Linked DNA regions of Xenopus tropicalis. The protein of the gene in region 3 interacts with the protein of the main gene of each other region in a biochemical or structural test. Links are inferred from orthologs where the notes say so. Each region holds a gene or a part of one and is shown on either strand. Other genes may lie near its edges. The genes, in order: srsf1, nkx3-1, top1.1 and topors.

Region 1 (8,823 bases), on a different chromosome or scaffold from region 3:
CAAGACTTCATTCATCTCAGTGCTCCGTAAACAAGGGGATTATCTGTTCTGGAACACTGGTTCTTCAGGACATGTATCTGCATCTGGCAAGCACACCAAGATTTCATTAGCACTGTCATGAGGAATTGCAAGATCCAAGATTATCAATTATAATTTATAGCCCTTCTCTTCAGCCTCTCATCTTCCCATAAATATCATTAACACATTTATGGTGCTTGTAGTAGTATATACACTGTACTACACTTAGATGATTGACTGATATGTTCAGGATTTTCAAAAAGTTACTACTAAATCAAATATTATTGCCATGCAGCACACACAGTTCCTGGATGTATTGATGGATTACTCTCAAAGCCAGACTGTTCTTCCCAAGAAATTCCAAGTCTGACAACAACCCTTTTTAATCTTTCAACACAGGCAATAACCCCAAAAATACTCTGTATTTAATGATTACTTTTTAAAAGTCTGCATCAGTTCTTGCTTGAGTGATTGCTGCCTGTTGAACAGGAACCCACTGCAATGTGTGGAAGAACAGACCATGTAAACAGATCACCATGTACTGGACTTTTTGCACATAAAACTGTAGTTATTTGACTACATGAGTCCATGCCAGAGGCAATTAATGTGGGGGTTTTGAGGTGACGTGGAGTCTGGGGTTTTATGCTCTCCAGCTCCAGTGGACTGCAGTTTGTGCTGTGTTTGTAAACAGAGCAGGTTTTTGTGCCCATAGCATTGTGCTATATTCTAAGAAGCACAGGATCTGTATAGGGACATTCAGGTTTTAATACATTTTTTCCAGCTTCAGAGAGGCAAATGGCTAACTGCAGACCCAGATTGGATCCAGATATGACAAACTGGGACGTGACTAATCTATACCCACAGCAGACTGATAATTCACTGCAACTATTCTGTTTAAAATACATAATCCACAGCTCTAGAATTCAGCATGAACTCCAAACTTTAGGCACAAAATTGACAATTGTTTCCCTTTTTGGTACCGTTTGAGTGGATATGTTTTAATTTCATTTTTACAACTGTATGGATTTAGATACTAGAACAACAACAAATTCCTTCTTTTGAAACGGATGCCCTTGTGTCTGCTGGAAGGACCTACTGGTAAATAAAGCATTAGAGAGATAATATGGTCCCCTTATATAGTTATACATATATACGGGGATCATAAATGAGAGCGCAATTGCTCTTTTTAATCAGAATTTTTGTTCTTAAGGTTGCCAGAAGCGACACTCCTGTTAACTTGCCCGGCACTACCATCAGAGGCAATTTTTTCAACTTTTCAACGTGCTGCTGCCATGAGGATAGTTAAGAAACTCACCTTTGGTGGCAGCGCCCGGCAAGTTACCAGGGGTGGCAAAAAAAGATCTTAAAAAATAAAAAGTAACAAAGGAAAACTATATCCCCAATCACTGTAGGTCTCTATAAAATGTATTGCATAAACACCCTTGTGTAAAACCCTGCTTCATCTAAATAAACGATTTTTATAAAAATATACTTTATAGTAGTATGTGCTATTGGGTACTCCTAAATAGAAAGTTGCCATTTTAAGAATTAAGGGCCGCCTCCTGTGATCATAGGATTCACAGTGCACACAAACAAGTCAAGGAAAATATGCATGCTGGGCCCCATCAGCCAATTAATGAACAAAGTTCTGCCTTCTTCCTGTTACAGTTAGAGCTGCATTATTTCTGGTCATGTGATCTCTGAGGGCGCACACAGCCCATCACTAAATTGTGGATCAAGGAAAAGGATTTAAAAGGGCAATATTTACTGATATATATATATATATATATATATATATATATATTCCAGTTTGGCGAGATTCTTTAATAGGTCACTCTGCATAATATAAACTATCTGTTGGTTAAGTATTCATTCTGGGGGTATAGTTTTTCTTTAAAGAGATGAAATTCTGAGCGCTATTTCTCTCTCTACAATACCGATGTGGGGGGAAGCATCAACTTGCACACCTATTCATGACAGTACCCCTTGCCCCCTTTGTTCCACTGTCGGAAGTGACCTCTCAAAAGCTATATTAAATTTGTTCAAAGAAATTTTTGTTTGCTAAAAGGCATACATTTTCGAGTATTTTTCTGTTATGGATTTTTTTTACATTCCAGCATCAGTTTCTTAAATACTTTTGCACTTTTTGAAGTGCTTTTCCACTTCAGCCCAGGGTTGCACTCCCTACTCTGTAAAGCGCTGGGCAATATATAAATGTACGTATAACTTTATTTATAAAGCGTTAGAAGGGTACACAGCGCTATACAATCTTACAATATACACAATTACACACAGGGAGGACAACTGTTATAATAAATACAAGAAGTATAAATACACAGATTGAGCGCCATGTGGTGTGAGAGAGTAGGAAGGAGGTCCCTGCCCCATAGAGCTTACAATTTCACTGCCCAATCTAAGCTCGACTAAAATAAAACAAACAAATATGCACAAGGCCCAAACAGGAGTGTAATGTAAGGCATGTATTTATTATCAACACATAAATATTTGTAGAGTGTAAGCTCTTTTGGGCAGGGCCCTCTTCACCTCTTGTATCGGTTATTGATTGCTTTATATGCTACTCTGTATGTCCAATGTATAAAACCCTTTTATTGTACAGCGCTGCAGAATATGTTGGCGCTTTATAAATAAATGTTAATAATAATAAATAGGACAAAGTCTTCCCAACCTTGTTTGCAATATTACCCTGACAGCAGTTACAAAGTATTGAATTGCAGTGCTACTTTAATGGGGAAACCATTGAGAGTGGACCACAGAGACCTTATCCGCACACCCTAACACTCCAAAAAAAATTTTGTACGGTGCACACTGCTAGAGGGATCGGCACCCTCCAAATACACTGTAACAACAAAAAAAGCAATTGGCACTCAGGACTACAAACAAGGGTAAAACCCTTTTAAAAGTTTTATTGCGGAAACCATTGAGAGCACACCTGTAGTTAATGATTTTCATACTCATAATGAATGTCACTGCAGATAAAGAGCTAACAGCCTCCGACCATGGTTCTATAATACAAAACCACCTAACAACAGCCATGGCGCACGACGAGTAACAAAACATTTTTCAAACAACACCCACTGCCCTCCCCCACTATGGGCGCGCATTTCCTGGACGGACGTGACGTCAAGCACAGGGTATAGAAAGCCCCCCTATCACATACAGAGAAGCAGCTTGAGCTCAGGTTTCTAGTATAAATATTACCTCAGTGAATAGATTCTTTCTTAGGGCCGTAATTGGCACATAGCTTTAGGAACATTGCATCGTGAAGACGTGGAAACGAGAGGCTCTATATTGTCTCGGCGTAAGATTACCTTTGTTGAGGACGCACCACTGCGAGTTCTTAGTATCCTTGCGCGGCTAAAGCAAGGGAGGAAGTAACTCCGCCATCTTGTCCAAGCTCTGAAGCGCGCATCGAAGGTCTGTTTGGCTTCCAACTCCATTTCTTTTTCTTCTCAATCCGTCTCCCTTTAAATCCATCAAGCTGGATATGTCAGGGGGCGGCGTGATTAGGGGGCCGGCGGGTAACAACGATTGCCGTATCTATGTTGGCAATCTGCCGCCAGACATCCGCACCAAGGACATTGAGGACGTTTTCTACAAGTATGGGGCCATTCGGGACATAGACCTAAAGAACCGCAGAGGGGGCCCGCCATTCGCCTTTGTGGAATTCGAAGATCCAAGGTAATCCCTGTGTAAATGTTTTTGCTTTGGCCTATCGTGCTAATGGGCTCGCCTAGTGTTAACTGGTGAATAACTACAATATACCTTGAGTGTATCCGGGGGCGGGGTGGTGGTACTGCGACTTTATTTCTGCTGTAGTTGATAAAATGTCGTCCGCTGTTGTATTAGAGTTTATATATAGTCGAGGAGGCCAGTGAGGGGGGGAATTAGGCCTGATTATGGTGCAGGTTATGTTTCAACATCGGTGCGTTGTATCATTATTCAAGTTAATATATTTAGCCTATAATCCCTACAGAGTGGCGCCAGAATGAGGTATTATACACTCATTGTGTATCGCCATTAGCACGTGTAAATCCCTATTTATTACCGCCTTTAGGCAACAGCGCCCCCTGTGTGTGGGACCGAATAGCGCTTCCGCTCTTTGTTCTGCAGCCCTGCACCATGCTTACTAGTGTGTTAAGGGAAGGCATTCTAACAAGCAAATGTGCTTTGGGTTATTTATTGACCTGTTTGCTTTAAAGCCGCTGCCTCATGTCTCTGCTATAAAGCATGCAATTAGGCTCACTGCACTTATTCAACCAGAACTCCTAACACCTTTTATGTAGGCTGCTTGGAGAAGTGCAGTATTGATATTCAATAGCAACACTACAAAATGAATAATGGGTGTTTAAGCATCTGCACTATATGCACATATGTAAAGTATTGGTGAAAATGTACTGTTTAAATGTAAATACAAAAGCTTTTGTGTAGTCATGGGGGCAGCCATTCATGTCTAAAAGACTGTTAAGATACAATGGCTTGCTTACACAGAATTAATCTGGGGTCATGTGTCGTTTGTAGCTCTATACATGACTGTAATAAAGTTTTCTCATTTACAGCCAAGAAAGTTTTCCAGGATATGTAATTACCATTGTAGGTGAATATTCTCTTCTTAACCTGGCATTCTTTAACTAAAGCAATTCTTACCTTGGTTTCTCTTAGGGATGCAGAAGATGCTGTCTATGGTAGAGATGGCTATGATTATGATGGCTATCGCTTGCGTGTTGAGTTTCCAAGAAGTGGGCGAGGAGCTGGAGGCAGAGGTGGTGGTGGTGGTGGCGGCGGCGGAGGAGGAGGTGGTGGAGGCGGCGGCGGCGGTGGTGGTGGTGGCGGCGGAGGAGGAGCTCCCCGAGGGAGATATGGACCTCCATCAAGACGTTCAGAATACAGAGTGGTTGTGTCAGGTAAGAGTTCTATCAGGTGGCAGGTTTAAAAACCAAAGTAAAAACATCAGTTGCAAAGTTTTAGAGGAATAATGCCCATCAGGTTTTTACAAGCAGCGTTATTTCACATGTATACAATAATGAGTTGGACACAGTTATGCATACATTCTAAAGTATTATGCATTCTATACCAGTGGATATGACTGACCATTAATGTATACAAACAGAACTACTAGTATATCTCCCTTTAACTTTAGTTCAGTTAACGGCTTGCATCAGCTTAACAGAACTTAAGCAACTCTCTGCTTGGTCCTTGCAAGGTAGATAATTGTATTACAGTTCACACACAATTCTCCTGCATAATGGACTTCAAACCATGCAGTCACAAGAAAAGGGAAGGATAGGGTATTGTCTTCAAACAAGATATTAAATGGCCCTGTCTGGTTGCTCAGGATGCTATCTGGACTATGAAAACTTGCACATGTTGCTATGTTACCTTCAGTTCAAACATGAAGCACTGCAACAAATTTACCTTTAAAACGTACTAAATGTAAACCCCTGAGTTATTTTAGCAGAATTGGGCTGTTGTGAGTCTCGCTGGAAGCATGGTTCAGATTAAAACAATGGGTTTTCCCCAGGATGCTGTGTTCATTTAAGCAATACAGCTGTCTTTGGACTGTTTTAATGCTCCATGCATTGCTGTATAACCAGCATAGATACCTACTCTTGGAATTTTGGCACTAGAAGTTCATAAACCATTTTAAATTTCCACCATTTGCATGCTTTTAATTATGTATAAAACTGCTTTTGATACCAAATTTGACACTCTGATAACTTTATATTTCTAGGGTTGCCTCCAAGTGGCAGCTGGCAGGATTTAAAGGATCACATGCGTGAAGCAGGTGATGTATGTTATGCCGATGTGTTCCGAGATGGTACTGGAGTTGTGGAGTTTGTGAGGAAAGAAGATATGACATATGCAGTACGGAAGCTGGATAACACTAAATTTAGGTCTCATGAGGTAAATACTAAATTGTTTAGTAGTTTGTGTTAAGTTTTTCTCTACCTATTGTGACTAGCAGTATCTGTTTTACATGACCTCTGAAGCCAATAGTGATGTTGGCCAAATACATAAGGTGCCAAAAGATATGGGAATTTTAAATTTTCTGTATAATGTACTATAGTTGCTTGACTTTTATCGTTCTTTGATGTGCCTAAGTTCATAAGATATTGAAGATTGGCTTGTTCAAATCCAGCTTCTCTCATTGATAGGGAGAGACTGCCTACATTCGTGTTAAGGTAGATGGTCCAAGAAGTCCCAGCTATGGAAGATCGCGGTCACGCAGCCGCAGTCGTAGCAGGAGCCGTAGTAGAAGCAACAGTCGCAGCCGAAGTTACTCTCCAAGAAGAAGCCGTGGTTCTCCACGCTACTCTCCTCGCCACAGCAGATCTCGCTCTCGTACATAAATGAAAAACACGTGATGCTTTTTGTAGACCCTCATGTTGTATACAGTTTTCTTTACTTTCATTTTTTTAAGTCACTGTTTTATTCAATTTTGCCGAAGTGTTGAATCCTTTGTGTAGTATTGCCATCAGACTGGCTCCTTAATGCCCTCATTTCCCTCATGCCTAAAACTGTATTTTAACTGCTAGATTCTTCCAGTTTAGCTAGCCACTCTTCAGAGGCACCAGCTGGTGTTTACTATGGTTATGGCACTGTGGGTTTTGGTGGTTGATTACCATACATTCTAACTTTTTTTTCCTGGGGGAATTCTTGTTTTACCTTGCCTTTTCATGTGTCTTTCTGTAGACATATCTGAAGAGATGGATTAAAGGATTGTGGAGGACATTTCAATCATTTTAGGATTATCAAATGGAGGCTTGAGGAGGATCAGATCAAATATGGAGGCCATGGTATGACTCCAAGTGCTACTGTTAGACAAAATTGGCAGTATTGACCTTATGCTGAAAATTCTTGTTTTAAGAGAACAATTATTCATAAGTGATACTGTGATCTGTTTTATAAATTTAGTCCTGTGCTTGTAGAACATGTCCTTTTTCTATTCCTGTCTGTAGGGGTATTTCCACAATACATGTGAATGTCTTGTGGGCCTCATTCTACTAGGTAGAGTATAATATCAATACTGCTAAACATGCATGTCCTCTGTGGTTCTAAACATTGCTCTTGTTTTAATTGTCACATTAAAAATCAAATGAACTCAGATGTTGGTGTAAATTGCTGTGGGAGGGATACACTTTTTCAGCCTATACCCATTGCAGACTGAGCTTTGCAGATATATGCTGACATTTACATGAATGCTGTTGGCTGCTTGTGACTGATCAGTCATAGCTTATGCATAGCAACTGCATACCAACAACATGCTTACTTTCCTCTGTGATACCTTTTTTAATAAAACTTCACCCACTGTAAAAATGGGCAGTCCTCCTGTGGGTCCAATTGTACTTATTGTAAACTGTTACACACAAAATTACTTTTTTTTTTTTTTGCATGTTTTTTTCTCCTATCTTTTTCATATCCAAGAAGATATAACAGCCTTATGCAAGCTCTACCTGTAGAAATATTTTCTTTGGTATCACTTCCCAGTAACCTATAAATTCCACCTTTTTGTAATTCCTACTCTTGTATTGCTCCCAACAATGAGTCTGACTTTGAATGATACCTTAGTTATGAATAAGGAAGTGCTAATGTGAAATAAATGAACCAACTCTTAGGTAGTCCCATAACCAGCCAGGATATTAGCAAGGATATTGATTAGGGGAGAGAAGTAGATAGTCCTTGTTGATCATACTACTATCTAGTAGTCTGAACACTAAAGCATATGAAACTGGCACATTCAAGCAATGTATGTCTAGCTTAGTCTTATATCTACAAGTATTTGAAGGGTAGTAGTTTGGGCACCAGTGGATTAGATTAGATTACTTTTTCTATTCATCATTGTACATGATTTGGCTTATGCCCAGTGCATTGTACAGTCAAGCTGTTCTCAAACTGGGATGCATGTTATAACATTCCAGTGCATTGCGTCAAAGAATGTGATACTTGCACATACCTTTACTTAGAGACTTGACCCTTACTAGTGGTAGCTATCAGTCTGTGGGGTAGCTCTACTTGGCCTCCTCTAGAGCATTTTTCCACAATCGTTTGAAAGGAAAAGGAAATTTGGTTTATTTATATCCTGGTGGCTTTAACACTGAGCCCTATAATTGTGCTTTTAAAGTGTGATCTTTAGTGGTGCAGGATGATAGGACCCTGTCTAGACTTATTCATGGCATATATGCTACACCCCCAGGTTTTGTTAAATCTATTTGGGCCATGGTAGGACTGCTTTTCTTTTACTTAAAAAGGATGTATCCAATAATGCTCCTGCTGCATGTTCTCAGTGGGTGTTGGTAAAGATATCACAATATGAAAAGTACATCTGTATGTATTCAAGCAACTGCTTCAATGCTGAGCTCATAAGCTTCATGCAAACAAATATTTCAGGTGTAACTATATATCTATATTCCTGCAGATGGAGCAACCTTTATTTATGCATCTGACACTCTGCACAATAATTCAGTTTGGGATACCAGTTGTGGCTGTGTGCTAGATGCTTAAATTGGGTCTGTTTTGTGTGTAAATCCCTATACCACTATTCAATAGATAATTTTTGTTTTGGGAAGCTGTGTAGCTATTTGTGCAGTCCTGCTCCCTGTAGGATTACATGAGTAACTAGTCTGCTCCCATAAACTTGTCTTAATACTATCTAACTCTGCCTCTTTTTTTGGTTTTGCTGGTTATAAAGGTTTGGATTGGAGAGGGCTCACTGGATCCCAATCCTGGAGCTGGATCATTGGATTCAAATCATAGGAATGAATAGGATAGGGAGGATGAATAACCAGG
Region 2 (8,552 bases), on a different chromosome or scaffold from region 3:
TTTTCCCTCTCATCTCTGCCCCCTTATCTGATTCCCCTCCATTTGATGGATCATATCTTTAGCTCCAGATCTTGCTTATTTATATTTCATACATTTTCCAACAAGAATGCTCCCCGTATGTTTATATGTCAGCATGGAGATGCAGCTAGGATTTGAGCATGATTAGTAGGCTGCCAGTTTGTGGGATAATTTATTGTACAGAAGGATGGTTAGGCTAGTAGTGGCTAGTGGCTTGTCAGCAATGTATTGTGCCACCACTTTGTTCCCAGTGGCCGCAAAGCAGGTGCTAATTATTGAATTGCTAGCTTGAAGGCAAGTTTTTGAGGCATAAAGACATAAGTATAATAAAAAAACAGCCTCTTGCAGGCTGGCAGTCCTCATGGGCTAGCCAATCATAGCCCGTATTTGGCAACCTCAGGAACTTGCATCACACTTGTTTGGCTAATGAACCTTTTACATTTGAATGTGACTCATGAGTTAAAAAATAAGGTTGGGGGGGCTATTATAGTATATATACATAGGATATGTATATATACATAGGATTGCTGTGTATATATGTACACTGGGGTTCATTTTAAGGGGTTCACCCTGATAGACTTTTTTAACCCAAATTAATTATGTACCAAGTGGGCCAAAGGCTATGATCTAATTGGTAGCCCCCACAGCTGCTCCAAAAAATATGTGGCAGTGTTAACCTGAAACAGGCGAGCATATAATAAGTTGGGCAATAAAGACATGTAAAATGTACAATATTGGTTAGCTCTTACATTAAAGAAGGCCAGGGTTTGGCAGTGTTTCAAGTGAGGGGTAAATTAAAGGAGTGGTTCACGTGTAAGTTAACTTTTAGTATGTTATAAAATGGACAGTTCTTTTTTCTCATTTTTTATTGTTTTTTAATTATTTGCTTTTGTCTTCTGCCTCTTTCCAGCTTTCAAAAGGGGGTCACTGACCCCAGCAGCAAAAACTACTGCTCTGTGAGGCTTTTGTTACTTTGTACTTTCTATTCAGACCTCTCATATTCATATTCCAGTTTTTCATTCATACCAATTCATGGTTGCTAGGGAAATGAGGACCCTAGCAACCAGATAGCTGCTAAAATTCCAAACTGGAGAGTTGCTAAATACAGTAAAAAACTAAATAATTCAAAAACCACAAATAATAACAAGTGAAGACCAACTGCAAATTGTTCCAGAATAGCACTCTTTACAACATACCTTAACTTAATTTAAAGGTAAACTTTAAAGGAATTATGTGACTAGTAATAATTACAGATTCATTGTCCATGTTTTTATTATATACAATTTTTATTTGCAAATAGTGTCAGCATAACTGTCAGATTCTGACTATAAGGCATTTAATTCCCCACAGCTCCCCAAAGGGGCACATAACACACATAAACACAGTTATTCCCAATATTTTCCTTCCCCAGGCTCAGTCACTGGCACAGATGTTGGTGAATAATATGTTGGTGTGGAGTATCCTTATCTTCCCACTATCCATAGCTGCTTTGGGTGAAGTAGGGAACTATTGCTTATTATGTCTGTGTAGCCGTATAGCAGGGATCCCCAACCTTTCTTAGTTGTGAGCCACAGTCAAATGTAAAAAGACATGGAGAGCAACACAAACCAAAACACAGTTATAGCAAATAAGCCTATGACATACAGGGAACATCCTTCCATTCTACTAGGGGCGGGTCAAACTGAATGCCACCCTCGAACATCCTGCCCCCCCACGACCCCACATAGGCACGCAGCAAGTGTGCGAAGAAGCACGCATATATGCAATAGAAATGGCGGGGGCAGGGGAGCACAGACCAGGGGTTGGTAGGAGAGGTACCCGCTTAGGCAGGTGCTTCTTCTGCCTACCCCTAGTTCCGAACTGCATTCTACACCACCATTTTTCCTGGCGGAGAAGTGCCCAAAAGCAGAATTGTAGCCTATTAATTATTTAGTCTTAAGGTGACCATTCTTGTAGCAATTTTCGATGATGTTCAGGGTTGAATCATCAGATATGGAGGTAGAAACAATAGAAATTCTACTACCACCTGCCGATTCAGCCCTGAACGTGGATTTTGCTCGGACACCTTCAATGGCACACAATCAAAATCTTTTAACCTGGGCGATCGATGACTTGACCGATATCCGCAGCCTTTTGCAATATCGGTCACCTCGTCGAGCCGCCATACATGCACCGAATATGAGGTTTTGTACAATATCATCAATGCGTGTATGGCCAACTTTAGATTCTATTCAAGTTTAATGGCAGGTTGCATGGCCACATTCAGGCACTTCTGATGGCTAAAACACCAACATGTGCCATGGGCCAGCTGCAGGGTTCTTTTGAGTATTACTTTCATGCAGGCTAATTTCCTTTATAGGTAACCCAAGTGAAAGGGCTGATCTTGTCTGCTTGCTATAGGAATACATTATCAAGAACAATGGATCCCAGTAGAGAAAGAGAATTCTAAGTGCAAAGATCTAGCAGGTTGGAGGCATAGGGATAAAGCTTGGCCTGGGAAGACCCAGCCAAGGCCTGATACCGTCTGCCCCTCCCTTACAGAAAGAGATTAAGCTGATGACACTAAATTGGACAAGGATTTATAGTCTGCGGCCCTTAATCCATAGATCCCCAAATGTCAGAGCTCACAGAACAGGTTTTAGGATCTACTTATATGATCAAAGCTTGATAAGATTGTCCTTGTCATTGATACCCATGTGCCAATCTTAGGATTTTCAGGTCATGTAGGCAATGTTGTGGGGCCTTGACATCTACCTTTACTTAAATCCCACCACTTTAATATGACCCTCTTGTAGCAATGACTCTCAATCCCAGCAGGGACCTTAAAGCTTTGGCTAAACCACAGCTCCCACAGTCCCCTATGTGCGAACACTCTAAGGGAATGCTGGGAGTTATTACTCAACAATAGCAATATAGAAACAATAGATTTGCGATCTTCCACTAAAAGCAACAAGTGTTTTCAAGTCAATGTCTTATTGCAGCCAATCGTAGGTGGCTTTATTGTCCTTTAGTGCAAGGTATAAGTATTAAATAGCTATTCATCCCGCTACAAGTCCTGTCTAGCTAGATTTCAAGGTATCAAAATTAGTTTTAAAATAGAAAAATATATTATAATTTAGAAAGTCCCAGTAGCCTAAGGATGAGGTCACCAGTGAGGCGTGGGCCACCCTGCCAGGTAATACAGGTAGGGGTAGCAGTGATAGTTCTGGTAAAAGCTGAGGAGTGAAGCTCGGCTGATGTCTGTGTCTCTGCTCCGTACAGGGTGAGCTGAGGACTTCTCTACCTCCTCCATATCAGTGGCCAGCTGCTTCCTCTTGGTCTTGTACCTCCGGTTCTGGAACCAGATCTTTACTTGGGTCTCGGTCAGTTTCAGGCTCTTGGCAAGCTGGGCTCTCTCTGGAGCAGACAGGTACTTCTGGCTGGAGAACTTTCTTTCCAGCTCTATGACCTGAGAGTGGGAGAAGGCAGCTCTGGATCGTTTCTGTTGCAGCTTTAGTTTCTTTTCCACCGGGGATATTGGCTGAGCTTGGTCTAGCTCCACATTTTCATCTGATGAAAGATGAGGAAGGGGAAGAGTCAATAAAAGAAATATATCTAAGAATGATTTGCTATTCTATTGCAAAATATTAGGCTATTAGAAGTATGTATGTATGTATAACTTTATTTATAACGCGCCACTAGGGTATGCAGCGCTGTACAATCTTAAAATATACAGAATTACACACAGGAAGGAAAAGTGTTATAATAAATACAATAAATAAGTATAAATACACAGGGAGTAAGTGCCATGTGGTATGAGACACAGTAGGAAGGAGGTCCCTGCCCCGTAAAGCTTACAATCTAAGTCACCGTAAAGAAGTTCTGTGACCTGAGACCAAAACCTGTAGGCCAGTGCTTCTATACAGGTCACAGAACTCTGAGGGGAATTCTAAATAGGGGTATATAAGTATTTTGTAATAATACACAAGCTTTAATAGTTCATGTTACACAAGTGGAATCACTGAAAGTGCCATTTCTGATGACATCATTAAGCACTATATTGTACAAGACAGCCTTTTGTGTATTATAAGCATAGGCCAGTCTTATTACAAAGATAGGATACAGATATCAGAGACAAGCTGGTCCATAGTCAGGGGCATAGAAACAGAGCATATCCAATAACTACAGGGGGACAGAAGGGCACAGTAGGGGTCCTGACTGTTTTGCATTATTAATATATATATATATATATATATATATATATATATATATATATTTATTTGTAAAAATATGTTTAGCTCCAATTGCTACCTACATATCACTGGGACACATCCCATAAGCATTGCATGGGCTTTGCATAATTCATTTGCCCTAGAAAGATTATTTTGACCTTGTCAATAAGGCTTAATACATTGCTTTAAAATAGGTTCCTTTGATTAATGAGCTACACAATATAAAATGAAGAAGGGGCACGTGTTAACGGCTGTAGTTCAACAACAACAGGAAGTTAGATTTATGTACAATGCTCCAGAAAGCTCTATTCTAATATGAAGTAATAATAAAACCTAATGCAGAGGGTAACCACACATCTTACATTTTAATAAGTATTTCTACATCCTGGACTCCCAACAAGCAGTGTTCTGACCCCTGACTAGGCTTCTAGCGGTGCCACTTGGCAAACATTTGTTTCCACTCTGGGACCCAGCAGGAGGAAAGGAAGTCTTGGCAGGGGATAACTTTATAGCAATGACCTCAATCAGCCCATTTGCAGCTTCAGTTATTCTGTAAAAACCGGGACACAGTGCTAGTAATGTTACCCATTTGTTTGTATGGGTCATAATTAGAACATATGCCACCAAGCTTTCCAAGATAGGGTAACAAGTCAAACTGAGGCTGCAAGGGGAGCTAACCAGCTTAAGCACTATAATACATTGGGGCTAAAAGTAACCTCAACAACTAACTATGTACTCAGCTACAGTATCATCTCATATCTCATATACCCATCACTTGTTACCAGCACAAACCTCCCTACAGGTTCAGGACTACTCATCCCAGCTCATCTATGTGGAATGGCTAAAGGTAAGTTATCCTTCATGTCAATAATCCTGACATATAAACTTTTGCACTGACCTTCCATCTGGCTGTGGTGCATCTCTGCAGGTTGGGACGATGACTGTTGTTTTTCTGGGGTACAGTTCTCCTTCTTGCCCCCCAAGGAAGAATCCTGGTCCTGGTCTGTCTTTGGGGAGTCCAGGCTTTTTTCCTTTCTCCCAGGTCCTATATGTGACAGAATGTCTTGGATGAGGAAGGATTTCAGTGGCTTGGCAGGAAGGGACAGGTCTTCTGTTCCTTGTTGAGACATCCTCGCTAAGTGCTCTGGGCTGGGGTATAAGGTGCCTACCCTGATTGTGCAAGGTTGTCCTGGGTAAAACAGGCTAGGGGAAATAACCTTCTAAATTATGTTTTAGACTTCTGGAATAACAGGTAATAAACAGAAGTATAGAAAATAATAAATGGCTTTTTAGGTGGAGTGTGGGTAAGTTCTATGCTGCTGGCTACCCTAACTTTGCCCACCAATGCGCCTTGCCCTCTGCTCTCTCATCTCTCTACTGGCCTCTCCATCTCCAGTACATATAGCTCCCCAGTATTAAGCCAGCCTTCTTCTGATTGGCCAGGCTGACACCCCTGCCTTCCCACAGACTGCCCCACACAGGTACAGCAGCTTATGTTACACCCAGGGGAGGAATCACCAAATCCTTATCTCCCCTCCCCTGCTGGAACAGCTACTGTGCAAGACACTGCTTGGAAACTTGCTTTGTGCTCTCTCATAAGTCTACCAGTCCCATATATTTATCCAAGTGTATGTATGTGTGTATATATATATATATATATATATATATATATATATATATATATATATATATAGTTTTGTTAACACATATAAAATATACAGCTTGGATGCCATTCACATGCACTATATATATTGGTACCAGAAAGGCAACTGCAGCCACTCGGTGATTATCAGACTAAGCGGGTTTAACTAACACAGTAATTGTCATCATTAGCAGCATAATGGGCTTAATGAGTCCTCAGGCACTGGCACATTAGTGGTTCTCACTCATTCTTGCACATCCATGTACTGTTTGTTTACAGGGTAAACACTTCCTGTTCCATGTAAATCTGCTATGGATTTAATTTGGATGAATGAAGCCAAGCCCAGTGTACTCTCATTGTATATACATACATTCTAGTAAATAGAAGAACCAATGAGGAATCCAGCCAGTCTCCAGTTAATTAGAGGGTTGGCAGGTATCACTCTAGCTACAGCTAGACTACATTTCCCAGAAACCCCTGTCATATACAAAGGTCCCCCCGTGCTCATCCCAAATAATCATTTGTCACATCAACTCTATATTCTGGTATATCATAGTATGGACCATTGGTCCCTGCATACCCTAGTGCAGTTGCAACCCTTGCACCAGAGGTGAAACTATAGAGGGAGCTGTCCCTGTGAATTCTGGGGGGCCCAAGCCAGTGTGTCAATTTAGATTAATAAGAAAGGTCTTATTCACAAAAGGTAGAGGGGCTTAGAATGATTTTGCTGTGAGGTTTAGTAACTTCTCTGTATGTCACTGCCCTGCAATTCATACCAGGTCTGGACTGGGATTCAAAATAGGCCCTGGCGCTTCAAGTATACAGAGGCCCAAACAGCCCCCCAGCTCAATAATGACGCCCCCCCCCCCTGCCCCCACACCGTTGTGTCCTAGGCACATGCTTGAGATTTCCTTCTGCTTTAGCCAGTTGAACTGTTCTAGACTACAACTCCCAGCAATTTCTGTTAGCCAATGATTAGTGAGCATGCTCTGAGAGTTGTAGTTCACTATGTGGAGAAGCAGACATTGTGAGGGTTGGAGACTGACTATAAAACAGCTTGAGTATATGTTTAAATATGTTTTATTACCGAAGTATAGTGGGGTCCTAAAATGATTCCACTAGGGGCCCAGTAACTTGTAGATACCACCCAGAACCCACCCAGTTGCTATTTCTCATGGTGGGAGGGAAAAATTGTCTGCTCGGGTGCAAATGGTTTAGTGCCTATAACATGTATTCATTCCCCAGAATGCTTTTCTGGTTACAGCTATCATTAGTTATTGGCGACAATGGCTAATTATAGTGCAGTTAATTACAGCACCCGCTGCCTGTGCTGCCACACGCTTGGGCACAGACAGCCCGCCACTGGTCAGACCTGCTTCCTGGGCATAATCCTTCTTTTACTTGTGTTTGCCTTCCAGTCTCAGCCACTCGGGCTGCTTCCTTTTCACAAGAAGAAACTCCTTCCACTCCAGGGGTTTTTGGATTAGAGCTGAATAATTATATATACATATGTATACGTTCCCCCTCAGCTATAAACAGGAACAGAGTAGTCAGGCTTGTATTCTGTCTGGGCAGCGCTAATATCTCTCCCATAGGGAAGGCAGGCCAATTCTGTGTTCCACACTCACAGATGTTTTATAGGAGTTTGGGCACAGGAGGTTGTTTGATTGCTGTGCAGGTCTGGGGCTGCCACCTTGTGCCAATCTAGAAGGTTGTGATGAAAAAAAATATTTGAGGTCAGGTTTTCTAATCCAACAACACAAAATGTTTATCAATATTATATTTTTGGAGACATTGTTCTAGTAGTGAGGCTCACAAGTATATTTGTCTGGTTTTTCTAACCACTCTTTCCAGAGCCCAAGAGCCCCTGCTAAATCTGGACAGAACCATACATGGATAACTAAAGAGTAGTGTGCTGTGCTACATGGAGACTTTTCCAAAAACTGATTCACATAAGCAGGTCCGGACTGGAATTAAAATAGGCCCTGGCATTACAAGTACACAGAGGCCCCAACAGCCCCCACCAGCCCAATAAATAGTGACTGTCTATGGCATCTTACAGCAGCCCCTCTGGCATTTGCCAGAATCCACAGAATGGCAGTCTGAGCCTAAACATAACTGTGATAAGGCACGGTGCTTTTAAGCAAAATCGAGGACCTACTGTAGGTCTATTGGGATCTTTTTATTTCAAGGTTCTTTTGGGGGTTCGGGAAGCACTAAGAAGTAGTTCAAGAAAAGCTGCATTTTATTTCCTCTCTTTCCCTATTCCTATATTCCACTTTCACTTGTGTATCTTGACTCTCGCTTAAACTTGCTCTCTTTCTGTATTTGTTGTTGTATCTTTTCAGTCCTCCCCCTCCCCAACCTGCCTATTTCTTAGCCAAATGGTGGATAGAGTAGAAAGAACCAGAATCTCAGGGGATGCTGGCATTAAGAACTGAACTCTGCTACCAAGTCAATTCAATGGCTTCATTTAACAACATCAGTTGTGTTGGTTCAGCTTCTTCCACTGTGCTGCGAACAGCCTAATTTATCGGCCAGATGTCTATCGGGCAGTTTTGATTTTCCTTTTGGATTGAGGACCACATTGGCTTGTTGATGCGGTCCTCACCCCAACTGCCTGTATGCGCATTATTGTGATCCAATCATATGGCTGTTCAGATCAGGCCAATATCACCTGC
Region 3 (8,110 bases):
CGGTGGGATGGCAATTCGGGGAGATTTGTTGCGGGCGACTAATCTCCCCGTGTGCCAGAGCCCTTACAGCACATGTGGTCTGTCTAATAGGAAATGAATGAACTTATTTCTTGACTGCAAACTAAACTATAGTTTAAATAAATAAGCTGCTGTGTAGCCATGGGGGCAGCCATTTAAAGAAACAGTAACACCAAAAAATAAAAATGTTTTTAAGTAATCATAATACAATGCACTGTTGCCCTGCACTGGTAAAAATTTGCACATTTGCTTCAGAAACACTTCTATAGTTTATATAAAAAGCTGCTGTGTAGCCATGGGGGCAGCCATTCAAGCTGAGAAAAGGAGAAAAGGCACAGGTTACATAGCAGATAACAGATAAAACACCATTGTATTGTTATCTGCTATGTAACCTGTGCCTTTTCTCTTTTAAATGGCTGCCCCCATGGCTACACAGCAGCTTCATTTACTAAACTATAGTAATGTTTCTAAAGCAAATACACCAGTTGCACCAGTGCAGGGCAACAGTACATTATACTGTAGTTCCTTTTATACACTTTGATTTTTTGGTGTTACGGTTCCTTTAAGCTGGAGAAAAGGCACAGGTTACATAGCAGATAACAGATAAACTCTGTAGAATACAATAGTGTTTTATCTGTTATCTGCAAATTAACCTGTGCCTTTTCTCCTTTGAATGGCTGCCCCCGGGGCTACACAGCAGCTTGGTTTATATAAACTACAGTAGGGTTAACGACAAGTATTATAATTACTTTTATACACTTTCATCACATTCCCTCCTGCTGTGGGTGGCATAGGGTCCCCTACCATTTATTGCAATAATAGTAATGATTTCCCTATAGGTGCCTTAGAGTAAAAATTGATTAACAATTGCATGTCATTAGCAGTTTTTACACGACTAATATCAAGAGATAATATGAATGTGTAATAGAAGTTCCCCTTGTTGCCTGAGTCAGACACAGATATAAATGTACAATATACAACATAAGTCGTTCATGGCTTCCCAGCATTCTATGAGTGACACTGAGGGTTTACGTTGGAGGAGGAGGAGGCGTACCATGCCACAGAGATTCTGGGATCCAGGTAGTTGAGTTTGGAGGTTCCAAGAGCAATCTGTTTGTTCTCTTCTCTGTCTGTGGCCTGAACCTCCAACTTCATTAGTTGCTCTTCTACCCTCTGTACAGCTTTCTTTTTGCTTTCCACAAGCCTGTGGGTATAAAAGTGTAATCAGTTCCCAGTGTGTGTACACACACACAAAACAACAACAAAAGCATACAGAGCCCGATAAAGAAGTTCAATGTAAACCTTAGCTATTAAAAACACATGCGAACTGCAGTGGTTGCGTAATCCAGTTTCTCCATTCTGCAGAAAGTCGATCATGCTGCCACAGCACGCAGGCACTTGCTCCCTTACTATACCACTGGCACAAGCAATTGCTCCTGCCGTCTCACCGAGACTCGTGGCACGAGCAAGCTTACATAGGAATATAAAAGTGCTAAAAATAATGAAGTGCTACAATAATGATTTTCAGTTTAGTAGCCCTAAAGGTGTGGTACTAATAAACCGTATTTTGCTATCTCTTACTTTTTTGATTTTTCATCCCGCTTGACCTTGGCATCTGCTTTTGCGCTCTTTAACTCTCGCCGGGCGTCCATCAACTGATCCTTCTTTGCATCGATCTAAAACCCAAAACACAAGCAAAGTTAAAAGGTGCATTTCAGGCATCAGAGCTAAACGTCACAAATAACGGTCACGCTGCAGATTCATTTCGCTCAGACCATATCCTTTCATCTCAAAAAAAAAAAAAAAAAAAGGCTTGACTTGACAAATGAAAATGTGTCAGGCCTTAATTATATTTAAGAGTTATCAGAACACCCAAAGTGCCTTTGCCCTGGCAGTGAGTATACACCCCCCCCCCACCCAAAGGGAGGGACCCTATGTAACCAATCTGGTGCCCTTGTGTAGGTGGCACCAGCTTTACAGACAGAGGGTTTTAACCCAAACATTCACAAACTTCACCTTTCCCTGTAGGTTCATCATGGATTTCTCAAACGTTTTAGGAGGGGCTCGCTGATGGTTACACAGGATGGCGACGGCTCTGTTGGCACGGTTGTAGGACAAGATCTTGGCGGGAACATTGTCATCACCTGAAACAAGCCAAAATACTATTACACAAGCAGTTATACATAAAGGGTTCTCAGACGTCAGATTATAGGAATACAGATATAGGATCAGTTATTTGGAAATCCAATACAGGAAAGGTCATCTCCCATAGACTCAGTTTAAGGCAAAAATTTTAGTTTTTAAAATTACGTTTTTCTCTGTAAAAACACAACCGTAGCTTCTAAGCTCCAAACGAAGCTGTATGAATCCATTTTGGTGAGTTTATTTAATGATTACAATTTTTTTTAGAAGACAAGGTATAGAGATAGACATTACAGAAAGATCCCTTATCCAGAAAACCCCAGGTCCCAACTACTCTGAATAATAAATCCTATACCTGTACCTGAAGAGTGTCACAACAGGACTCATGAGCAAGCTGACAGAGGAATATAATAATGCCATCTTTAAGAACACAATAGAACATTTATTTAGAAACGTATTAATAAGACACCCCCCGCTAGTTACAGCCCACGTAGGGTAAGAAAGGGGCCTTACCGTTAGTGAGTTCGTTTAGTTGTTGCTGCAGGGTGATGGAGGCGTTATATGTTCTGAATACTTTGGCTGTTAGTCCCTCCATCAGGTCCTGAAGGTGCTTGTTCAAAATGCTTGTCTGAAAGAAGGGATATAAAAAGACATAAACCTTCATATGTCCTAGGCAGGTTTACAGAAAAATCCTGAATGTCCAAAGTCAAATCTACATACGTTGAGTCTGTCAAACAGGTCGTCGTCAGGCTGCTTGTTTTCCATGAAGAGCTGAAGATTTTTGAAAACCTGAGCAGAGCACCAGAGAAGGAAAATTTTAGTACATAAAGTCACAGCTTCCTTCCATGTTTATTGGGGAGATTTTTCAGCTAAACAAATTTAGAAATGCAACTCCGTATACTTACCCTTTTCTCCACTGGCACTTTGTTGTAGTAGCGGATGGAATCTTTACCCGGGAAGTCGAACTCTACCACAAACTCTTGGCCGTCCAACTCTTGGAAGAGATTGATGTGCTCCACTCGCAAGGAGCAACAACCTACAGTATCTGCTGTTTCTCCCTCTTCCTTTTCGTTGCCAGCTCTCAATGCAAGCTGAAAAGGATTGATTTGGTGGGTAGAATTAGGATACAAGCTAAGGTGAAACATACAAACATGGGGGGGGGGGGGTAAGTAATGCCAGGCCAGCAGCACTCCTGGAATAGCTTAGGGTCACAAGAAAGAATTCCACAAAATGGGAAGGCATACAGCCTATACAGTGACTACTTCAGGAATAGCCTCTGCTGTCTGGGATAATCCTTGGACTGCAAAAATATCTAGTTTAGTTGCAGGCCTGCCTAGATGACCTGACCCATACCTCCTTAGGACACAACAAGCAGTGTATACTGTACTAGTTGCAATAAACATGCATGGCCACTTCCCATCATCCCATTTAGAACAGCAGACAGTATCATCTGCAATCAGACAGGTTCACGGGATGGGTTGTTGAAACCCACCCTTGACCTTTGTTATATATCCTAATAGTTTAGCAGTGTTGATGGGCCGAGTAGACACATGCAAGACCAAACGCAGTTTTGTATCTATCAAACACAAAAGGGCCTCACCTTATCTATAAAGTAGAGCGCTACTGCTCTCTGTCGGACTTTCATCTCTTTGGACTTCCAGTCCTCTTTGTAAGTATTGCGGATCTTTTCAACACACATCTTGAGCCTTCGGGCAGTCTCGTACTTCTGCCAGTCCTTCTCACCCTGAAAGGCAAACAGGAATTGTTAGTTGCAGGAATTCAATTTTCTAGATCCATTTCCATTAGGATATAAAGCAACAACAGAAGTGCCTTAGTGGCCAGGCTGCCCATAATTATCTATTTACCTTGATTCGGGAGCTAGGGTTGAGCATGATGTATTTGATGGAACCCTGAATGTTTTCTGTCCATGATACCAGCCATGTAACCTTGCCGTCATGCCGAACCTCTTTCCACTTGTGACCAGCAGGAGCAACAGGATATTTTGAGTCTCTAAAATCAAGGGGGGTGGGGGAAGTGATAATAAAAAAAATTCCTACATTCCAAACACACAAGGTACATGAACACAAATTGGTATTGCTGGGTTTTTACATACTTGCTGCAGTTGATGATGATGTCTTCCGGCATTATCCTCTTCTTAAGTTTGCCCATCTTGGGGTGATCTCCTCTGCCCCTGAACAGGCCGGGAGGTTCTATGCGGAAGTTAGCAATACGTTCCCTGTGGTTGTCCATGACACAAAAGCCGTACTCCTGCAGTAACCGCTCATTCTCTTCTTTGATTTTCTGTAGCAGGAATAAAAGAAATGAGGCCCAAAATCCCTTGTCTGACCTATTATCGACTAGAACCCATAGCAGCTAATTGTTCTGCATTACTGAGCAAAACTCAATTTCTCAAGGTTAAGCACCTGCTTCTCTTCCTTTGTCATGTTTTTCCTCGCTTCCGATTGCTCTTTAAAGTACTGGCTCATCGCGTTGAAGTCGCATTTGCCCAGGTTGGTGATTAGGTTTCTTTCGTCGGCTGTCATCTCCTGAAAGCGGCCAGGAAGTCGGTTGAATTAGTTGGACAGATTCAAAGAGTTAGGGATTAAATCAAACAAAGAAAAAAAAAAAAAAAAAAACTACCTTTTTCCAGTCTTTGAAGAAGTTCTTCCGAAAGATATCCTTAGTAGTGTACTCGTGGTCTAACATTTTTGCAAAGAACGTGGCCACTTCTTCGGCTTTTGGGCTGAGCTTTACAAGATTACCTGCAGCGAGCAGAAGATATAAGGATAAAGGCCCATTTGAATATATTCACCATCCTCTGCAGATATGAAGGGCCAGGGGTTTATTCCCAATTATTCTACCAGCAAGGGGGTTGTATAGGTAAGTGGTTTATTAACAGCAAGTACAAAAGCAAAGCTGGTACCTGAAGGCACGGGGACACCTGGGAATACTGCAGAGCCACTTACCATCATAGTAAAATTTCACATTGTCAGGGAGAGGTTCATAGGGGGGAGCAAACACTGGTCCTTTATGTTCCAAGAATTTCCACTTAATGCCATCAGCATGCCGCTCCTCCTCCCACCTATAGGAGTTAGAAGTGTTAGAAATGGAAGAAATGCTGTACAGTCCATAAAATACAATAACGCACGGCACGAAGCGGTTACCATTTCCACTTCTCTTCCTCCTCCTTTTTTACTTTTTTCTTCTTCACTTCCCCCTCGTTGCCTTTGCCCTTACTTTTTTTCTTGGGCTTAATATCCTGTGAAGGGAAACTATGTTTTTAAACTGCTTCCTAAACAACCAACCAGATGGACACTTAGGGGCATAAATTGGTGATGCTGGCCTACAAAGGATAATATGCCCCTTAGTTACTCCGCAATAGACCTCACCTCTTCCTCCTGCTTCCGCTTCTTCCCTTTTTTCTCATCTTCAGATTTGATCTTCTTAGGTTTGTAATCCTCACTAAAACCAGAATGACACAGTAGGTAAAATCAGCACCCACAGGAAAACTTTAGGGCAGTTCTGCTTTATGATCTGCTACATGACAACATTTTGTGTGGGCAGAGTTTCATTCTAATAAAAGAGGGTGGGGGTAAAAACCACATACACACTGCTTCAGTTATATGTAAGCTATTGGCTGGACACTGTCATATCTTACACAGTCACAGTACAATACAGTTTGTGAAACTCAAGGCCAGGCTGTTAAATGCCCTTTGGAAAGGCCAGCTTTGTGCCAAGACTTAGATTGTCTAGTGTATTCCCTCCTTATATATTACCTATATAGAATAACTCCGGAATATCTGAAGCAAGCAATATGGCAGAGTAGGTTGATGACATTTATTCCAACTCATTCTATTAAGACTGCGGCTATTAATCTTGGATGAGAGGAATACAAGTGCAGTAGTAGGTGGACAACCTACTCCCTTCACCATTCTAACCATTCCCTGCTCACGTACTCATCGTCTCTTGGCCTCTTCATTGCCTTATTTTCCTTGGGGGACATGTGGAAGCCGTCATCTTCTGGCTCATCTTTAACCCGCACAGGACTAGAAGAGAAGAAGCAGGGTGTTCAATAAGAGAAACTCCGCACCCAGTGGCAGTATATTTGCTCTACCGACCCATTGCCTTTACCTAGAGAAACCATTTGCTTTTTTCACTTTAACACTGCCGCTGGAAGATTTCATCTGCAAGAGATAAAAGCAGTCAGGTTAAACAGTGATACTGGTCATAGTGAATACAATAAATATGAGTGCAGGAGGTCCTCAAAACCTCGTTTTGTATGATATTCGGTGCGTGTATGGCAAGTCGGCGAGTCGACCAATATCGCAGGAGGCTGCTGATATATCGGTCAACTCGCCGATCGGACCGGTTAAAAGATTTTGATCGGGCGCCATAGAAGGAGCCTGAGCAAGTTCTGCCATCAGAGCTGAATCGGCAGAAGGAGGTAGAAATCCTATTGTTTCTACCACCTTATCTGCCGTTTCAGCTCTGAACAGTTAGTGGCTGATTGAACGATCTTTCGTGCGACCATCCCAAATCGCCACGTGTGTGGCCACCTTAATGGAGATGACAGCCTCACCTTTTCTTCTTTTCTCTTCTCCCGATCTTTATCTCTGTGTTTATCTTTATGCTTTTCTCCATCTCTATGCTTCTCAGCATCTTTCTCTTTGTGTTTCTCTCCATCTTTATGTTTCTCGCCATCTTTCTCTCGATGCTTATCGTGTTTCTCGCCATTTTTGTCCCTGTGTTTCTCCCCATCTTTTTCTCTGTGTTTCTCGCCATCCTTTTCCCGATGTTTGTCATTGTTTTTGTGTTTGTCTTTATGCTTCTTTTCTGAAGGATCCTTGTGTTCACTGGAGGGGAAAAACAGAAAAAAAGAGCTGTAGGTTGCAAACACTAAATCTCCCACATCCAATTCATGGGCATATAGCTGCTGCGATGGCACTGGTCTATGTATGGGCTCAGGAGATTCCTTTTTTAATTTGTTAGATTTTCATCAGAGAAACACGGCTGGCCAAGTACAGTTTGTGCTAAATATGTAGTCCAGATCCTAGCCTTGTCTATCTTCATATTGTATTTATTCATACAAGCAGTACATTTTCCTACTACAAACTTAAAGATGGCTAAGGCCACACAGCACTTTATAACCACTTATCCTTATAGCAATCATTTTATAAGGCAGGACACCTTTTACATGGATAAACAGCCTAGACATGGCCCTGATTCCCTATATTAGCTGTCCCACAAACGTATAAGTGCTTCAGTATCAATAACTATCCCACTAATTTAACTTGTGAGATTTTCTAATGGAGTCAGCAGCCCTTTCAGGAAAGGTAGGAACATACCTGTTGTTGTGTTTGGATTTTTCCCGGTCTTTGTCTTTCTTATGTTCTTTGTGGCGATGTTCTTTGTCTTTCTTGTGTTTATGAGAGTCTAAATCCCGGAGAAAACAAAAAATCAGTTACTAAACAAGTTACCCTTTATAAAGCAAACAGCCCTGGCAGGCTAAGTGGGACAGGCAAGCTGGCTACCACGAGGTTTAGCCTGTAATTTATACACTACAATTTGTTTTGTTTTTTTAAAAGCTAAAAACACTTCCTCCAGGGCAGACTGTGGTTTTAGGGGTTAATAACCAGGAGAACGAGCAGTTACCAGGCTGATATTTGCGGAATGCGTTGGGTGGAAGGGAACATGCCTACAGGGCAGAGCAGCTTCAATAGCAGACTGACAGCAGGAAGGCACTGCCACCTACCAGAAATGGCCAAGCAAGCTTAACTGCCCCCAGCTATTGATTTTTGAAGTCCCCACCTGCAATTAGACAATAGACTGTCTGGGGCTAAAGAATTGTTCTATAACAACCCCAATTGCCAAACTGGGTCACTGGGAGGGGTGGCATGGGTCTGAAAGAAATGAACGGTATCCAATGTTTTTTTAACTTAATAGGTGCTCG
Region 4 (6,784 bases), on a different chromosome or scaffold from region 3:
ATTGGCAGAACCCCAATGGCTTTGCCAGCATAACGTAGGCTAGCAATAATGCTTTGTCATTCAAGATCAAGTGCTTAAAAACCATAAGTTATTTTAAAAAAAATATGGCACACCACAATAAGCTCTACTTCAAGAAAAAAAAAATCTTTTATAAATATGTGGATAAGGATTAAAATGGCAAATTTTAAAACTTTTGCCATTTAATATACATTCTTGAACATTGAATAACTGGCACACAACCCTGACAAAAAGCTTCTATGTGTTCTAGAATGTGTTAAAGGGGTGGTTCACCTTTAATTTAACTTCTAGTATGTTATATAAAGTAATATTCTGAGATGATTTGCAATTGGTCTTCCTTTTTTTATTATTTGTACTTTATTAATCATATCAATAACTGTTCAGCAACTCTCCAGTTTGAAGCTATAACAGCTGATTGCTAGGGTACAAATTACCTTAGCAACCAGGGAGTGGCTTGAATGAGAGACTGATATATGAATAGGAGAGGGACTGAATAGCAAAAAAGAAAGCTATAAAAAGTAACTAGAGATAAAACTGTAGCCTCACAGAGCAGTAGTTTTTGGCTGCCAGGGTCAGTGACCACCATTTGAAAGCCACAAATAGTTTGAAGAAGGTGGCAAAAAATTTAAAAACTATAAGAAATAAATCATGAAGACCATTTGAAAAGTTGCTTAGAGTTGTTCACTCTACATCATACTAAAAGTTAACACAAAGAAGACTATCCCCTTCAAGGCTGAAAAGTGACATGAGCAGACATATCCCATTCATCTGAGTGGTGGCCAAGGGTTATTTGGGGAGCTTTTCATCTGTGGACCACAAATTTATTGTTAAATTATCTTACAACTCATTCCAGCCCTTCATGTTTCTTAACTTTTTTCTTTGAGAGTTATGCATAACTGTCTCCTGATAAGGAAATACTGGGAAGGGCAGTAACATTCTACTAAACTAGGCTGGTAGTCTATATTGTGTAGACCTCCAAGAAACTAACCAGTCAATTAAGAAAATGATGCCAGGGTTGTTGAGTAACTTATCCCTAAATAAATTCACCCTTGTTCATGTTCTTCATCTGCTGGTAGACCCAAAGCATGTGAAAAACAAACCAATGGGGTATATTTATCAAAGTGTGAAGTTAGAGCTTGCCACAGTCCACTAAAGTGAAATACTGTCATTCTCCATTAATTTCTATGGGATTTTTAAAAATAGTATTTATCAATAAATGAAAGTTCACCCTTTGATAAATATGTCTTTTAAAATGACATAGAAATGAAGGTTTGTGGTGGAATTTTACTTTAACAGATTGTGGCGAGCTCTAACTTCACTCTTTGGAGCAGATTTAACAGTGTAAAATTAGAGCTCACTACAAAAAAAACTGACCCACTTTTTAAAACTCACATACGTTCTATTCATTCCTATGAAATTTTTAGAAGCGTATTTATGGGTGAAAAAATCCCATAGGAATGAATAGAAGGTGGGTGGATTTTTCTTTGGTGAGCGGTTATCTTGGATTTTGATAAATCTTCCCTTGGGGTGATTGAAGCTCAACAGTTTCTGCCAGATCTAAACAACTTCTATTCCTGCAAAGTAAAAACATACATCTGTAGCAGTGACAGGCTCAAAGGTGATCACTTTAGTCATTTGAGTCACTTAATATTACAAACAGCTGACAGGGGACTAAGGTGTTTAAGCATGAGTTGCCTAAAACATATTATTTGTAAATATATTTGCTTTTGAAATCAGTCATGTCTGGCTGTTCAGAAACAGAAAACTGCTTTACATTGCAGATACATTTACAAATAGCTTCAAAACCATTAAAAAAAACAATGTATATAGGAAAGTTTTTGTCTGGAGATCCCCCTTAAAATGCACTAGTGCATCAAACTATAGCAACCAACCAGACATTTGTTTTATTTGCTGTTTGGAGTTACTGCACTGGAGAACTTTAGCACCTATGGGAGGGAGTAAGTCTTCTGGTGGATATAAGGTTTTTTTTTTTTTTTTTATTGTTAACAATTCAACCATAAGAGGGTTTTTTTAAAGCTTAAAGTGATGGTGAGTTGTGAATTCTAAGCAAAGCAATAATGTCGTCCACAGGACCTGGTGTCCCAGAACATCACTAAGCACTGGAAATCATTGTTCTTCAGGGCTGTTTGCCTTTTTTTTTTTTTAGCTGCTCTAGCTCCAACAATACAGCAAAACAATGCACCATCCCCAGGTCCTGAAGATGGCACTACTGCATTACTTAAAATTTTCTAGTGTGTTTGTTAGTATCACTTTAACAATGTTCATAGAATATCACGGAGAGAAGCACATACTCCATGTGCCACTTTTAATAATTTAATTTTGCACTCTAGTAAAGACCTTTAATTGAATTATGCACTTAGTATGCACTCCTAATTAATAATCAGTAAAGGGATACTGGAATTAAAATGTTGCTTTGGAAATTATGCTTTACTGCCAGCAAATACACAACATTTAAAATAAATGAGATGAAAATGATCAAAGCAGAGATGTCTTCATTAAGCCAGAATTTGGTACCAATAAACCAAACAAGAAGCGGTCTCCTGTCCAACAGTCTTAACAGGAAACTGGTGCTATGTTACATTGTTTAAGAGATCAAAGTCAAATATACTCTCAGCAAAGCTTTTATGAAGTTCAGATATTTCTGAAGTTGATGTAGGTGGTACATTGTCCAGTATAGGATCAGACTCTGGCAAGGAACTCTCAGCTGCTAAAGGTTCTACTTCACAGAGATCCGGTATGTTAGGAGGACTTTGTACAGGGAGCAGATTCTGTTCATCAGAGCTATCATCAAAATGTAAACCATCCAGTATTCCAGTGGCAGCATCTAAGTGCCTGTTACTTGAACATAAATCAGAGGCTTTGGAATCAGAGTCTGCCCTTTCTCCACTTAGTACTTCTGTGGTACTTACTGTGGTCGAGGTAGGTGGCGACTGGCTGTGCATGAAGTTAGTTGAGTCAATACTAGTTTTGTTTTCAGGTACCAGGGAGCTGTGGTCATTGCATGGGAGATCCTCCACCATTGGGGTGTCACTGTCACTGTCAATGGTGATAATGATGGGAGAAGCAGCTGGAGAATTAGTGTGTTCCCTGCGTCGTTTTTTCTTGTGCTTCTTTTTCTTCTTCTTTTTGTGGTGCTTTGCCCCTTCAACTGCTTTGCCCTCATATACTATTTCCACACTTGGGCTTCTTGCCTTTTTTCTTAACTTCTGCTTAGGTTCAGAGGATGAACCCATTAAATCATTTTTGAGACTACCAGTATGATTGCCAAGAGAAGTCTTGCCTGCTTGCAGACCTCCCTCTTTTTCTTTGGCAGAAGGAACTTCTCGATTGTTCCCTTCCCTTTCCTGCTTTTCCAAATGGTGTGTTTTGTATTTTCTTTTTCCACTTGGTTTGTCAGATCTGGTATGCTCAGTCCCTGATGTATTCATCTGACTGCTTGAGCGACTCCTTGACCTGTATCGCTCACGGCGATATTGTTTACTAGCAATGTATCCCCTCTCCTTTCTTGTATCTTTCTTTTCAGAGTAAGACTGAATTTTATATTCTGGGCTAGCAGAGGGTCTTGAATAACGTCCTCGACCACAAGTCCGTCTCCTGTAGGACTGTTCATAGCCATCTCTATCCCGATTTCGACTGTAATAGGTATATTCCCATTGATAAGAACTGCGATAGTTGTTGGAAGAAAAATCATTGTCACTATCATGACTTCGTGACCTACCCCTACTTCGATTTCGGCTTCTAGAGCTTGACTCGCATCTCTCTCTGGAGCTTTCACTAGTTAGTGACACAGTCCTACTCCTCCAAGACAGACTTCGATCCCTACTACTAGATTTCTTCCTTCCTTTCCTACTTTTATGCCTGCTCTTTTCAGGACTCCTGGGTTTCAAATTATTTTTGCTGCAATGCCTCCTTCGACTGTTGTGGCTTTTATTGCGAGAAGAACGAGAATAACAATCAGAACTCCTTGACCTATCCCTCCATCTGGACAAAGCATAATTACTGTTCAAATCCCCCTTATCCTTTCTAGAAGTTAAATCAAGTCGACATTTTCCCTTCTCTTTTTTCCTGGAATGGGAATGTTTGCTAGATGTGGTTTTTCCCTTGGTTTTGCGTGAACGTTTTTCTTTTGCAGGTGTGTACAAAGATGATGATGACCTGCTCAATTCACTACTGTCACTTAGGAAAAATGGTTTAATCGTAGGCTTTTTGGCATCTTCTGTCTTAACCTCACTCAATGAGCTCTCGGAGTCGGATGACAATTCAACTAATTCTGGAGTTCTTTCTGCCAGTGGTTTAACATACCCTACTATAACACAGTCATCAGTTGGAAAGGACTGATCCTGCAGGTTTTCTGTGGGTTCACTGTTGGAAACTTCTTGTGAAGTCTGTCTTATGCTGGGTGGCTCATCGTCTGAGCTTTCTGAGATATCTAGTGTAGTGGATACAGCAACTGAGGCTTGCTCAAGTGTGGAATAAGAGGGACCAGGGGTCTCATCATCCCAAGCTGTCTGGCCAACACCAGGACCAGCAGAAGGAATAATTGGATCTCTGGTATCTGCTTCATCTGGCGATATTGTGATGACAGATGACTCTGAACGGCTTCCTTCCTCATATGAAGGAGCAGGACAATCATAGTTTGCATGCTGATCATATGCTTCAATATTGTAAGGGCATCGGGCAAAGTTAACAAACTCATGTATGAAATGGTCTGTGCGGTGAAGCAAAAAAGGACGAAGATCCTCAACAAATGCTTGACTTTCCATATCATATCGTGTGACATTACTCATAATAATATGCTGTACAATGTTAACAAGGGAACCATGGCTACCAAAGAGAACAGTCAACTCTCTTTTCAACCATGGTACTAGCCGATGAAGACAAGCAGGGTTACGCCGGAAGAACTCAGCAGAAATATCTCTATAACGTCCGCCATCCTGAATGTTTCTCACACGTATTCCAGACCGGTACAAAGCTCTTCTGAAGTTAATGAGTTCTTGCTCTTGAATTTGCCTCATAGAACGACCCTCTGCACTGGCTTGTCGTCTGGAGGCTAGCCTTCTTATCATCTGGTGGATTTCTTCACCTCTTTGATGTAAATTCTGATTTGAAAACCCTTCAAATAAAATTCCATTGTCAGGAGGTGAAAATGTCCTTTGAGTGCTTGAAGACCTTAATGTCCGAATGGCTACATGATTGTCTCTACTCATAGTTGTGCGATAACGAAATCTATGTCCATCAGGACTGGCAAATGAACCATTCATTGTGGGCCTCAAGACATATTCTTTAAAATCATCCTCTGCTTTGACACTATGGAAAATGGAGTAAAAGGGCTGTTTGCATAGAGGGCATTCAGCTTTGTTTTTTGCCCATTCTTGAATGCAACGGAAACAAAATCTGTGCAGACATCGATCAAGATGTGACACATTATCAAACCTGTCCAAACATATTGGACACTTTGAGTCTGGGGAAGCATCTGTTGCAGTACCATGGTTTTGTAGTTTGCTTGTGCCAGCCTGGGGTGAAAAGCTGCCATCTAGTGAATAATTGTTAGAGGATGATGCCATCATCTAAAAAAGAAGAAAAACACATATTAAATTTTACAGTACTAGTCTTATTTGGTAAACTTATACATTATATGCAAAAGCTAAATAAATGTGATAATGCATCCCTACTCTTCGTGACGCTAAATGATATTATTATACGGTATCTCTTTGCACTGTATCTTAAGGGGTAGTTCAACTTAAAATTAACTTTTAGCATGATAACCTAAATTTTTTTTTATGAATTGTGGTTCGTGAAATATTTCCATAATTTATCCTGTAACTTTAAGACATAGAAATTTCAACAATTTGCAACTAGTCTTCATTTTTTTTTTTGTTAACTGTGGTTTTTCGGTTATTCCATTTTTTGTTCAGCAGCTCTCCAGTTTGGAATTTTAGCACCTATCTAGTTGCTAGGGTCTAAATGACCCTACAACAAGGCAGTAATATTATTGAGACACAGAGATGAATAGGAGAGGCACGAATAGGAAGATACGTAATAAAAAACACCAATAAGTTGTAGCCTCACAAAATGCTTTTTGGCTGCGGGGGACAGTGACCCACTTTTGAAAGCTAGAAAGAGTCAGAAGAAAAAAGGCAAAACATTTAAAAGCTATACAAAATGAAAAATGAAGACGAATTGAAAAGTTACTAAGAACTGGCCATTCTACAGGTATTGTACCTCTTATCTGGAAACCCCTTATCCTGAAAGTTCCGAATTACAGAAAGGCCTTCTGCCATAGGTTTCATTTTAATCAAATCATTAACATTTTTAAAAAATGATTTCCTTTTTCTCTGTAATAATAAAACAGTACCTTGTACTTGATCCCAACTAAGATATAATTAATCCTTTTTGGAGCAATCCTACTGGGTTTAATTACTGTTTTAATAATTTTATTAGCAGACTTAAGGTAGGGGATCTGAATTATGAAAGGACCCCTTATCCAGAAAACCCCAGGCCCAAAGCACTCTGGATAATGGGTCCCATACCTGCATAACATACTAAAAGGTAACACTGTAGGTGAGAATTTGTTGGAGACATAATATACAGACAGGTAAAAAAGGAACAGACGTACAGATGAATTCTAATTCAGCAAAAAAATGGGCTTTCAATGGTTTAGCCTGCATTCGGTTGTAGTAGGGATCTATGAATGTATAGACACATTAGGATCAATAAGACTATTTTAACCAGCCACTAAAGTAAT

What was found.
Region 1: the proteins of top1.1 (region 3) and srsf1 form a complex in vitro, tested with the Homo sapiens proteins (2 studies listed by BioGRID, with this or other methods). The link is inferred for Xenopus tropicalis from reciprocal best matches to the Homo sapiens genes TOP1 and SRSF1.
Region 2: the proteins of top1.1 (region 3) and nkx3-1 form a complex in vitro, tested with the Homo sapiens proteins (2 studies listed by BioGRID and IntAct). The link is inferred for Xenopus tropicalis from reciprocal best matches to the Homo sapiens genes TOP1 and NKX3-1.
Region 4: of the proteins of top1.1 (region 3) and topors, one has a biochemical effect on the other in vitro, tested with the Homo sapiens proteins (2 studies listed by BioGRID). The link is inferred for Xenopus tropicalis from reciprocal best matches to the Homo sapiens genes TOP1 and TOPORS.

What each region holds. Positions count from the first base shown.
Region 1 is NC_030678.2:76,101,814-76,110,636, forward strand, and holds srsf1 (serine/arginine-rich splicing factor 1), read left to right. Parts: upstream 1-3,269; 5' UTR 3,270-3,523; coding exon 3,524-3,717; intron 3,718-4,698; coding exon 4,699-4,940; intron 4,941-5,767; coding exon 5,768-5,940; intron 5,941-6,191; coding exon 6,192-6,386; 3' UTR 6,387-7,364; downstream 7,365-8,823. UniProt on the Homo sapiens protein: Plays a role in preventing exon skipping, ensuring the accuracy of splicing and regulating alternative splicing.
Region 2 is NC_030679.2:127,286,200-127,294,751, forward strand, and holds nkx3-1 (homeobox protein Nkx-3.1), read right to left. Parts: upstream 5,612-8,552; 5' UTR 5,360-5,611; coding exon 5,128-5,359; intron 3,568-5,127; coding exon 3,164-3,567; 3' UTR 1,286-3,163; downstream 1-1,285.
Region 3 is NC_030686.2:40,919,526-40,927,635, forward strand, and holds part of top1.1 (DNA topoisomerase 1), read right to left. Parts: intron 7,594-8,110; coding exon 7,506-7,593; intron 7,014-7,505; coding exon 6,740-7,013; intron 6,345-6,739; coding exon 6,292-6,344; intron 6,207-6,291; coding exon 6,117-6,206; intron 5,623-6,116; coding exon 5,550-5,622; intron 5,420-5,549; coding exon 5,325-5,419; intron 5,243-5,324; coding exon 5,127-5,242; intron 4,923-5,126; coding exon 4,801-4,922; intron 4,707-4,800; coding exon 4,584-4,706; intron 4,462-4,583; coding exon 4,274-4,461; intron 4,171-4,273; coding exon 4,026-4,170; intron 3,905-4,025; coding exon 3,761-3,904; intron 3,252-3,760; coding exon 3,066-3,251; intron 2,950-3,065; coding exon 2,881-2,949; intron 2,789-2,880; coding exon 2,674-2,788; intron 2,163-2,673; coding exon 2,035-2,162; intron 1,695-2,034; coding exon 1,600-1,694; intron 1,223-1,599; coding exon 1,073-1,222; intron 1-1,072. UniProt on the Homo sapiens protein: Releases the supercoiling and torsional tension of DNA introduced during the DNA replication and transcription by transiently cleaving and rejoining one strand of the DNA duplex.
Region 4 is NC_030677.2:115,114,664-115,121,447, forward strand, and holds the end of topors (E3 ubiquitin-protein ligase Topors), read right to left. Parts: intron 5,607-6,784; coding exon 2,610-5,606; 3' UTR 905-2,609; downstream 1-904. UniProt on the Homo sapiens protein: Functions as an E3 ubiquitin-protein ligase and as an E3 SUMO1-protein ligase. Probable tumor suppressor involved in cell growth, cell proliferation and apoptosis that regulates p53/TP53 stability through ubiquitin-dependent degradation.